Danio rerio: one gene and its partners. The protein of the gene in region 2 interacts with the protein of the main gene of each other region in a pairwise test. Links are inferred from orthologs where the notes say so. Each region holds a gene or a part of one and is shown on either strand. Other genes may lie near its edges.

Region 1 (3,660 bases), on a different chromosome or scaffold from region 2:
TATTTGAAAATAAGGCATTTTAATATATATTAATATATGCCAAAATCTATTAACTAAGTATTAAATTAATCACCATATATATATATATATATATATATATATATATATATATATATATATATATATATATATATATATATATATATATATATATATATATATATATATATATATATATATATATATATATATATATTAAAAAAAAAAAAATATATATATATATATATATATATATATATATATATATATATATATATATATATATATATATATATATATATATATATATATATATATATATATTTCTGGAGGATTGTGTGACTTTGAAGACTATAATAATGCTGAAATTTCACCTATGCCATCACATGAATAAATACAAAAATAAAACTACATACTAAAATAATTTCAGAAAGAAAAGTGTATTTTAAAAAATATTATTTCCCAATATTTATATTTTTAGTTAACTGTGATCAAATATTATATGCCCAGCCTTGTTGAACACAACATTTTTTAAAGCATTTTTAAAACCCCAAATTTTTGAATGGTAGCATACTCTATACTTACTAATATTTTCTTTAGGATGTGAAAATGGTATTTTACAAAACTAGATACATACATATTGCCTAATATTTGGAAAAGTCTTTCAATAAATTGCAATAAAAAGCCATGTAGATGGCACACTAGGTTTTGGAACAAAATCAAATTTATGTGTGTCTTTTAACTACACTAATGAAAACAAAGCAAATATCTAGATGCTAAATCATGCAAATAAAGCAGGCTGTTTCAAAGTGTAATTAACGTTCGAACTATTCTTGAAGTCTACACACAGGAGCAATGCTTAAAAGCTTCAGTAAACACATGTGGAGACTGCATCAAGTCTGGACCTGGCTGTGCATGGTGTAAAGAGTTGGTAAGTACAGTTAATGGTTCTATTTTTAATACTGCTGAAATGCATTTTCATTGGTGAATCTGCCCTCATAAAATGACTGACTGTTTAATGACAGTTTAAATTTATGAATATATTTAATGCTGATTTATTATATAGCATGATGTCTAGCCACTTTACAGCTTACTGTCCAAATATAATGCATTAAGATGATACATAAAGTGGGCAGTTTGTTATTGCATTCACCTAGTACCTAGTTGGACCCCCTTTTGCCTTCAGAACTGTCTTAATCCTCATGCAGTTGCTTCTGATTTATTGGCTGCACATGCATGATGCGAATCCCATTCCACCACAACCCAAAGGTGCTCTATTGGATTGAGGATCTGGTGACTGTGGAGACCATTTGAGTAAAGTGAACTCATTGTTATGTTCAAAAAAACAGTCTGAGATGATTCATACTTTATGACATGGCACGTTATCTTGCTGGGAGTAGTCATCAGATGATGGGTACACTGTGGTCATAAAGGGATGGACATGGTCAACAACAATACAGTGACACAATGCTCAAATGGTACTAATGGGCCCAATGTGTGCTAAGAAAATCCCCCACATCATTACACAGCCATAACCAGCCTGATCCGGTGATAGAAGGCAGGATGGATCCATGCTTTCATGTTGTTGACGCCCAATTCTGATAAGAAATTTGTATTAATGAGCAGTAGGACAGGTGTCCCTAATAAAGTGGCCGGTGAGTGTATTTAGAATGAGCTGAAACAACAACTCTTGATATTATTTGGGACAACTTAATTGTTTTATAGGTTGTTGCTAGATCGGATATGGTTGCTGAAAATTTAACAATTATATATATTTTTTATTAAATTTCCCATTTATTGTATTTTATTAACCTTTACCCCCACCCCAACCCTAAACCCAACTATCACAGTAATGTAAAAACAGTAGCTGCATTTAAATGAGCTGAAAATATAATGACTGGCTGGCATGTCACTCCCTTCTACTTTCTGCGTTTTTCAAACCACAGAATTTCACCAAGACTGGAGAGCAGGAAGCAGCACGTTGTGACACTGTCAAGTTGCTTTTAGACAGAGGATGTAGCAAAGAGAACATCATAAATCCTCAAAACATTTTTCAAAATGTTGTGAACAAAGCTCTGGTTGCTGGTAAAGACCCAGTGCAAATCCAACCCCAAGAAATACAACTCAATCTTAGACCAGGTATTTTATATCCATATAAATCAACAATATCTCAAACAAACCAGTGGCCTTTACAATATACTGTATGTTTGGACATGGTAATGACTGCTTTTTTTTCTCTCAGGGATGCCCCAAACTTTTCAACTACGTTTTAAAAGGGCAGAAGGTTATCCTGTAGATCTTTACTACCTGATGGATCTGTCATACTCTATGAAAGACGATTTGGCGAATGTAAAAAACCTGGGAAATGATATACTTGAAAAGCTCAATAGAATCACTGGCAATGCCAGAATAGGTAAGAGCATATGCATATATTGGTAACACTTTACTTAAAAAAGATGACAATGTTTGAGATGTGTTTGTTATGACAATTTGATAAACAAATACATTATAACTGACATTTCCAAGACAACAATCTATCAGTGTCTTTGTCATGACAACTTGCATTACCAAGTCAACATAACTTGTCATATATTAGTCTTGTCATACGGCCATTATAATTGTCATTAATATTTTTCTGTTGAAATATTTCAGTGGATTTTTTTTGCTTGCCATTACATTCAAAATTAAAAGTGTCAATACTCTGTCAAATAATTTTATAACATTGTTATTAATATCTAATGACATTTAATTACATTTGAATGACAAATTCAATTTGTACCACTGTAGTTAATTGCAGTTTCAAAATTAATGACAATTCTAATGGCCTCATGACAATTTAAATTACAGTATGACAGATTTACGACAAGTTTTGTTGTCTTGGTAATGTCAAGTTGTCATGACAAAGACAGGTTGTGATGTGTTTGGTTATGTCAAGTTGTCATAACAAGAACATTTGATTCTTACCTTTACATTTAAAATGACATAACTAAGCAAACGACACCTAATGACAGCTGTCATAAGCATGCATGGAATGTCCTTCATATTCATGATGTGATATAAAGGTTTCATGACAGTCTTATGAACACCCCCTTTAAGTAAAGTGCTCCCAATATATTATATTGCACATTTTGGAGTTGCACTTTGAAAAGTTGCAATGGCTTCATTAACCAACCTTTCCTAATACAGGATTCGGTTCGTTTGTTGACAAAACACTTCTTCCATACACCGACACCAATGAAGCCAAACTTAAACACCCCTGCTCGGATAAAAATGAACCATGTCAGCCAGCATTTGGCTTTCAGCACGTGCTTCCACTCACAGCAAATGGGAACGACTTCAAAGAATTGGTAAAGCAGCAGCATATATCTGGAAACCTGGACCCTCCAGAGGGAAGCCTGGATGCCATCATGCAAGCTGCCGTCTGCCTGGTGAGACACATTTTTGACAGACATTTTAACAGGTTACATTATCCATATTATGTGCTTAAGAGTTGTTTATAAATCATGTAAACAATGTTTTTGTGCTTCGTTGTACACAATGCAAAGAAACAATAGTTTACAGTGGGGGAAGTAAGTATTGAAAATGTCACCATTTTTCTCAGAAAACATTTTTAAAGGTGCTGTTGACTTGAAATTTTCACTGGATGTTTGTAACTGCCATAGAAATCCATTAATGCAAAGA
Region 2 (3,660 bases):
AAAACAGTCACTGTTTTTTGACAAAACCGTTGGTCAAAAACAGTAAAATGGTTAGAAAATGGCAACAGGGAGGTGAACTACGAATATGAGAATGATCAAGCGCGTGTGAATGACTTGAGTCTGTGTGGCAGCAGCATACTGTATGTTATCATAACAAAACTGTAAGTTTTATTTGAAGTGTAAAGAGTAGTGACGTTTCTACTTTCCTACAAAGAAATACTGTACATTTATCAGCAGCAAAACTATTGATTAAGGTGCGGAGAAACACAGAACAGCAGCAAGAGAACATGCTTTCTATAGAAAATAAAACAATTCTGAGGGCCAAACAATGAAATGGGTTGCCTTTTTATAATGTTGTTTGATCAATTTATTTGCTTGGTCAGCTTCTTTGTGGAACCTTTGAAAGTTCACAAATCCCTCAGAGTAGTGATATGGAACTGTGATGTGGTCAAAACTTGCCTGGAACTACTTTATATGAAAAGAACTTTACACATCAGTATGTTCATCAACCAATCAGAATCATTCATTCAAAACCCCCATAGTTTAATATGACAATTACAATCTGTCATTTTTTCTCTCTCAACAATGCAGTTTTGACTTGCTGCCGCTAACAGTAAATACTTGCAGAATGTTGCGTTTTGGGTTAAGCTGCTCCTTTAGTTTTAGTGCAATCATGCACATCTATAATTACACTGATGGAGGAAAATTAATCCTGTATACCTTTCCTTCCTGCTCTGACAGCTCCCTGATGGCCTGGCACTGACATTGAGTTTCAGTCCATCAATAAAGTGTAAGCTGACCCTTAATGCGAAACACAGCACTTTCATATGGGCACAGGCCATTGTGATGAACTAGATAATGGCCTTTGACAGACTGTAGTGTATCAGAGTGGAACGGCTTATGATCAGTGATGTCATTCTCCCTCGAGCTCTGATTCTGGAAATAGCAGATTTAGCTCTTTAAAATGGACAAGATCTGTTTAACTTACATGAACATGGTAATGTTTGATAGAAAGCAAGATCACTGACTTATTGCTTTCTTTTTTTCTGTACAAATAATGTTTTATTTTATAGTGAAATAATTATTGTCGTATAATAGTACAAATATATATTATCTTAAAATACTTAATAAATAAAATATGCAATGTTATATTGAGCATTTACAAGTTTGTGTGTGTAATTTAAATTAAATATAAAATGTTAATTCATATGCATATAGATAAATATATATATATATATATATAAATATATATAAATATATATATATATATATATATATATATATATATATATATATATATATATATATATATATATATATAAAATATATATATATATATAAATATATATATATATATATATATATATATATATATATATATATATATATATATATATATATATATATATATATATATATATATAATTTATTTTATACATCGGATTAACCCAAACATTTCAGACTATTGCAAAAAATTAAAAGTTGAAATTAGTACTCTGTTTCACTGTATGTGGGAGTGTGGAGAGCTGCAGTTGTTTTGGAAGGAGGTACATAGTGTGGTCTGTAAAATGTGTGAAATGGTTGAAGAATATGTTCCTTTGCAACCTAAACTTTGTTCATTACATATATATCCTGAAAAGGTGGCAGTATATGCAAACCAAAATATTCATATATATGAATTAATTATTTATGATTAATTAATTAATTCATAACGAATTAACTATTTGTAGCCTACCGTTTCTTCTATACCTGACCCGCACGGTCTTTGTTTTATACATAACCAAATCATACATAAATAAAGATAAGTTACACACAAATTAATACCTGCCATTTATTTTTTCCGCCAGACCCTGGCATTAATAGGTAGAGTGATCTGTGTTGTTATAATGGCGTCCACAAACTTTGTTGGTAAAAAAAGGTCCACAACCAACAAAAACCAACCAACAGCATATGAGGTTTTCACTAAAATTACTAAGTACAAGAGTGAAAGCGAAAGACACGTTACCTGATTGAGTCCTTACATAGAGACTAGATTAATTAAAAATAGATTTATTTCATAATAACTAGGTGAATTGCCAGTGTGGTATTATGATATACAGTACATAGTATATACATAACTACACTGAAATTAATCCAATGCTGAAAAACCAGTTGCTTCTAAATATTTTAGGGGAAAGCGTTTTTTTTAGTTCCTCTGATGAATATAAAGTTCAAAAGAACAGCATTTCTTTGAAACCTTTTCTTTTTTACATTTTTAGTGTCTTCACTGCCACTTTTGATCAATTGAACTTGTCCTTGTTGTATCTAAAATGTATATTTATGATTATCTATCTGGTCAAAATGAGAAAATTCTTTTGTTTTTAGCTAAATAAACAAAAAATATATAATAATTTTAAATAAATTAAATATACTATTATGATTAAATGAAAACAAACTTTTTCCAAACCACTTATTCTGTCATCTTCCAAACTTTGCATGCTGCTTTCTGTTGGCCAATCACATAAGAGCAAGGAGCTTGAGAGTCACACAGAGGCGTTGTTAGGCTACGTGTAAAACAAGACAAAAATAAATGAGGGCTCAGCCGATGTAGCACTATGGAGCAAAGGTGCGTTTATTTACAGTGCAAAAGTGTCTAATCCAAAAAATCCCCAAAATAAAGTAGACAAAATATATGTACAAAAATAAACAAACAACAACAAAAAAATAAATAAATAAAGACAATAAAGTAAAAAATTAAATATTTATATTTAAATATATGTATCTATTTATAGTGACCAACTCCGCCCACTATGGCTTCAACCATTTGCAGGTTTACATGTAACATATTAGACTAACACTGATTCAAGAAAGGAAGAAGCTGGTTATCCTTCATGTTCTGAACCCATTTATTAATATTTTATCAGCCCTTATAATTTACGAGCATCAGAAGGACTCATTCCTACCTTTCACCCAGATAATCTCCGATGGCGGTCTTGTTGAGCCCTTCACCCTTGTAGAGGAATTGAGCAATATCTTCACAAGTGTTTTTCAGCAACTCGTTCTCGATGAGGAACTGAATCCCCTGAGAAAACACAACATTCAGCATTAATGTCTTCCTACATGCATGTATTATAACTTCAGTTTCAGGTTGGTGATATTCTTGCTCTCTCCCAGCTCTTAAAAATGAAACCCATGAGGTTGGAAAAATGGAAATAAACTGGGAAAAGTGTGGTTGTGTGATGCTTAGCGACAAAGCTTGTGGGTTTATGCTAATTTGTGAACCCATAAAAGATCACAGGCTTAAAAATGCAAAATGCCAATGGATGTTATGTAATGGGAATCATTTGATTTGCCATAAGCATATCAGGGAGTCTTCATGATTTAGAAAACCTGCTTTTTATATTGCAACCTAATGCTTGTTTACCTTTTTGGGATCCATGTTAAATTTCTTGCGGCCCATAGCCATCTGCTTACTCCGCTGCATGTTTATTCTGAAAACACAGATAGAGAAGAGGGCTTTATTAATGCTGGGGAGGTTTGTTTAAAAAAAAATTGCAATCTAAAACTTGAGGAGCAGAGTTGCACAACACTGAGCTGCACAATTCGGAAAATAGTGTGAGGATCACATTTTTGGGGGTTAAAATAGAGATCATGATTCCCCACAGAATTCACAATAGAGAA
Region 3 (4,423 bases), on a different chromosome or scaffold from region 2:
TTTGATGGTTCATTTGTTAGTAGACTGTCTGCTTAATATCTGAAGCTAAACAGACATTTAAATGACTGTAAGAAACTTTGCAAGTACATGTCAACACTAACCCCAACCTAACAGTCTACTTATAATCTGTTAAGAATTAGTTTGCAGATGCAATGTTACTTAAATTCAACAAATGAACCATCAAAATAAAGCGTGACAAGGCAAACAGGAAAGTAGTTGTTGATTGCTGGTGTAGTTCTACTTGATTCAGTTCAGTTTCATGCAAATGTCACTGTAGAAGTTCAGTTCAGTTTACCATCAGACATTCATAACGAAGTGTATCATTACCTCTGAGGATCAGTATAATCCACCAGTGAATTTGAGTGTGTTCTGGCCAACTGAAAATGAAAACAAATCCCAGATTAATTCAATCTGCAGTACTAGTTTACAATTCAGTGATTTAAACCAGGGTTGCCCAAACTCGGTCCTGAAGGCCCGGTGTCCTGCAAAGTTTAGTGCTAGACACACTATCAGACATACCCGGGCTAGCTAATCAAGCTCTTACTAGGCTTTCTAGACATTCTTGCAGGTGTGTTGAGGCAAGTTGGAGCTAAAATCTGCAGGACACCAACCCTCCAGGGCTGATTTTGGACACCCCTGATCTAAACCATCTAAAAATTCTAAAAAAATTCCCAAACATCTGTACAAAATTAATTAAGAACGACATTTTTTAATTATAATTCAAAACTTGCTGCATTCATGTTGTCATGAACGTAACTATTAAGAATACATAGCATTTAGTTCATCCCACCTGACTCTGTGACAATGTCCTGCCTTTCATCCCTTCAGTGTTCAGATTTTTGGGACTGCTGAAAGAGCGCTGTCGCCACAGTATGCTTCTCTTCTTTTGAGAGCTGTCGATTATGTAGCTGTCCAGGCTGCTCATCTGTTTTAAAGGCATTTTAAAGTTCCTATTGGATGTCATCATGCCTCATTCACAGAAGCGCTGCACACAACTGCAGGCATCAGTGTGAATTCGCACAACTGCAGTCTACAGCGGATATAGCCACATCACGTGAATGTCAGGAACTAAAGACATCTGCCAGTTTCCTTTTTAAGCTTTGAGCTCTTGTGAATTTGCAGTAGTCTGAGAACAAACATGCAGGATGAGTTTTGTCATATCACCCCAATTTTATCCTCCTTACACTGGCTGCCTGTTAAGATTCGTATTGCATTTAAAATATTGCTTCTTACCAATAAAGCTTTAAATAATCTAGCTCCTGTTTATTTAACTAACTAACTTTAACTCGCTCTTTAAGATTTCAAAACTCAGGGCTTCTGGTAGAACCTAGAATAGCAAAGTCAAGTAAAGGAGGTTGAGCCTTCTCATTTATGGCTCCTAAACTCTGGAATAGCCGTCCTGATAACTCAAAACTAGATTAAAGACCTATCTGTTTAGTAAAGCATACACTTAGCAGGTTTCCACACAGGTTTCTGCATCTTGTTTACATACACTATGAACAACAGCTATGCTAATTATTCTCCATTTCCACCTGGAGATACTCATCCCTAGGCCCTCAGACCATGCAGAGTCATTGATTCAACCCAAGACCAGCGACGAGATGCTCCCAAGGTTTCCATATCCTGGACCAGGCCGTATCCTGAGCAGCTACTGTGGTGGTCATGGAGGAGTGAAGAGCATTAGACTGATTCCTGTGACGCTCCAGGGACAAACGAGTCTACGCTGAGGCCAGCTTCCAGCCTCCGCTGCTGAGGCCCCGTTTACACTAATGCGTTTTAGTTTGAAAACGCATAAGTTTTGCTACGGTTACGCCAACCGTCCACACTACGCCGGCGTTCTCGAGCGCCGAAAACGGAGCGTTTCGAAAACGCTAGAGAGGCCGTTTTCATTCTGAAACGCTGCTGCTCCGTCTCAGTGTGGATGATGGAAAACGGAGACATCTGAAAACGGAGGCGGGGCTGCAGACATTCGCCTCTCTGATTGGGGCTTTTCCTGAATATTAAGTAGCCTAACACACACAGTTCAGTCCTGCATCCTCTCCTTGTAAATTCAGACTTCGCAAGTTTGATCAAGGCTGCAGTCTCTTCTTCTCAGTTTGATATGGAAAACAGACTATACCGAGGACACGGGTAAATATTCAAAGGGAACAGTGTACTTTATAACTTCATTCACCCTGGCTACGTTGTTTCACTTTCTCAACAATAAAACGTAAACATGATTAAACTGTCTATCTTCATTTTAATATTAGCAACTTAACAGACAGCAGAAATGTTGAGGCGCCGTGCGGCATAATATCAGCGTCATCTTCACTGTGTGTATGTTTATAACAAAACAGAGCCTATAACAACTGCCTCCTTTAAATTTCAGTGAAAATATGAAACACACCCTCTCTTTTGCTGAATATCAGTTTTACTAATCGATAATGGCCATTATTAAGTTTATACATTATAGGAAATAAAGGCAAGCGATCAGTCAATATACAGAATAGGCTACGTGGTTACATTAATCATTAACTTATCTTTGCGGTCAGCCAAAACACGTTACCTGTGAACAAGTAATAGATTCCAATGCCCAAAGTCAGGGAATATGTTGTTAGATAAAGACAACAAGATGAATGAAATATCACGTTTAATAAATATGAGATTAGATCCAGCGGGAGATGCTTGATAAGAAGTCCGACTAGCACAGCTCTCATCTGGGTAGATGGGCTGCAGCGCTTGCCCAAGAGAGTATGTGGTCACGTGATGTGCGTTTTCAGCGTTTTGGTGTGGACGGAGAGCAGTTCAGAAACCCTGGGTAAAACGCGAGTGTGGACGCGGATCGTTTTCATTCTAAAACGCCGTTTTAAAACTAAAACGCACTAGTGTAAACGGGGCCTGAGACTGCAGCTCTGTACAAGACGTTTGGCCAGCGGAGAAATCGCAATGGTCGTGCCCAACTGAGTCTGTTTTTTTTATCTGCACAACTCTGGTTTACTTTGCACTCATTTGCTATATGCCCTTAATGTCATTGTATCAATCATAAGCTAAGTGTGAACTCTTGAAACTTACTTTAAGCTGTTTTGACACAATCTACACTGTAAAAATGCTATGGAAATAAAAATGAATTGAACTGAATTGAATTCAAGTATGAGTGGGCACAGCCATTGGAATCATTTTGGCTTGAGGCTTCTGGTCTCATGATTCCTTGTTCTGTAGCTAACAGGGAAAAAAAAATAAGAGGACTTATAATACTGACCTTATATGTTTTAAAAAATAAACTTTTTTTCCAGCCGAAATAATACCAAACTTTCTACAAAAGAAAAAATATTACAGGACAAAATGTTCTTAATCTGATATCACTTGAGAAATAATAAAATAATAATAATAATAATAATAATAATATTTCACAGGTGGGATAATAATTTTGCTCTCCACTCTAAGTCTTTCTGCTTTTTATGTATAGTCATGAACACACTTGTTTGTAAAGAATGTAGTTTGGCCCTTTTTCTGCCATTTATTATATTCCTAGTCATTTCTGTGTAAAATAGTCACCTCTGTGTCACATGCAGACTTCTCAGAGATGTTAACACGTTTACATACTCCAGCACATTCCTGACAAAGGCTCAGGATCTTCTGAATGGAGAAATACAAGCTAAACATGGCACAAAAAAACAAAAAACAAAAAAACAAACAGTGGGCTAAAAACCTTGCTGTAGATCAACATCTTTGGAGTACAACAGCACATGGGCAAATCCATACATCTGTACCTCCAAACAAACAAACAAACAATCACACTGCAAAAAAATGCTTTTCTTACTTGGATTTATTGTCTTGTTTCTAGTCGAAATATCTAACAATTCCTAAATCAAGAAGAATTTTATAGACAAGCAAAACATACTGTCTTGTTTTGAGAAATAAAATGCCAATATTAAGTGAGTTTTTCCGTAAAACAAGCAAAATAATCTGCCAATGGGGTAAGCAAAATAATCTTACGTCAAAAGAAAAAACAAGATTAATTTGCTTACCCCATTGGCAGATTATTTTGCTTGTTTTACGGAAAAACTCACTTAATATTGGCATTTTATTTCTCAAAACAAGACAATTTGTTTTGCTTGTCTAGAAAATGCTTCTTGATATAAGAAATTTTAGATATTTAGACTAGAGATAAGACAAAAAATCTAAGCAAGAAAAGCATTTTTTGCAGTGCAAACAAACAAATGATCAACAAAGAAACAGATAGAAAGGAACAGAGTAAGAAAGAAAGCACCTTTGTGACTGAAAGGAATTGTAGACGGAGACAACTTCAGAGATTTGGCTGTCGAAATGTAAGAAAAATAATTAAAACTGTAAAAAAAAAAAAAAAAAAACATTGTGGGCTGTAACTCTTTGAACATCAAACTGGTCCAGGAAACATGAGGTGTGCCATATTGTCAAGTCTTAA

The links.
Region 1: the proteins of cyth1b (region 2) and itgb2 interact in a two-hybrid assay, tested with the Homo sapiens proteins (2 studies listed by BioGRID). The link is inferred for Danio rerio from reciprocal best matches to the Homo sapiens genes CYTH1 and ITGB2.
Region 3: the proteins of cyth1b (region 2) and cytip interact in binary tests that used the Homo sapiens proteins (3 or more experiments, as listed by UniProt). The link is inferred for Danio rerio from reciprocal best matches to the Homo sapiens genes CYTH1 and CYTIP.

What each region holds. Positions count from the first base shown.
Region 1 is NC_133184.1:46,773,971-46,777,630, reverse strand, and holds part of itgb2 (integrin beta-2), read left to right. Parts: intron 1-818; coding exon 819-910; intron 911-1,925; coding exon 1,926-2,118; intron 2,119-2,221; coding exon 2,222-2,392; intron 2,393-3,165; coding exon 3,166-3,407; intron 3,408-3,660.
Region 2 is NC_133187.1:36,080,228-36,083,887, reverse strand, and holds part of cyth1b (cytohesin-1b), read right to left. Parts: intron 3,471-3,660; coding exon 3,404-3,470; intron 3,062-3,403; coding exon 2,943-3,061; intron 1-2,942. UniProt on the Homo sapiens protein: Promotes guanine-nucleotide exchange on ARF1, ARF5 and ARF6. Promotes the activation of ARF factors through replacement of GDP with GTP.
Region 3 is NC_133184.1:5,283,707-5,288,129, forward strand, and holds the start of cytip (cytohesin-interacting protein), read right to left. Parts: upstream 2,938-4,423; 5' UTR 968-2,937; coding exon 791-967; intron 378-790; coding exon 328-377; intron 1-327. UniProt on the Homo sapiens protein: By its binding to cytohesin-1 (CYTH1), it modifies activation of ARFs by CYTH1 and its precise function may be to sequester CYTH1 in the cytoplasm.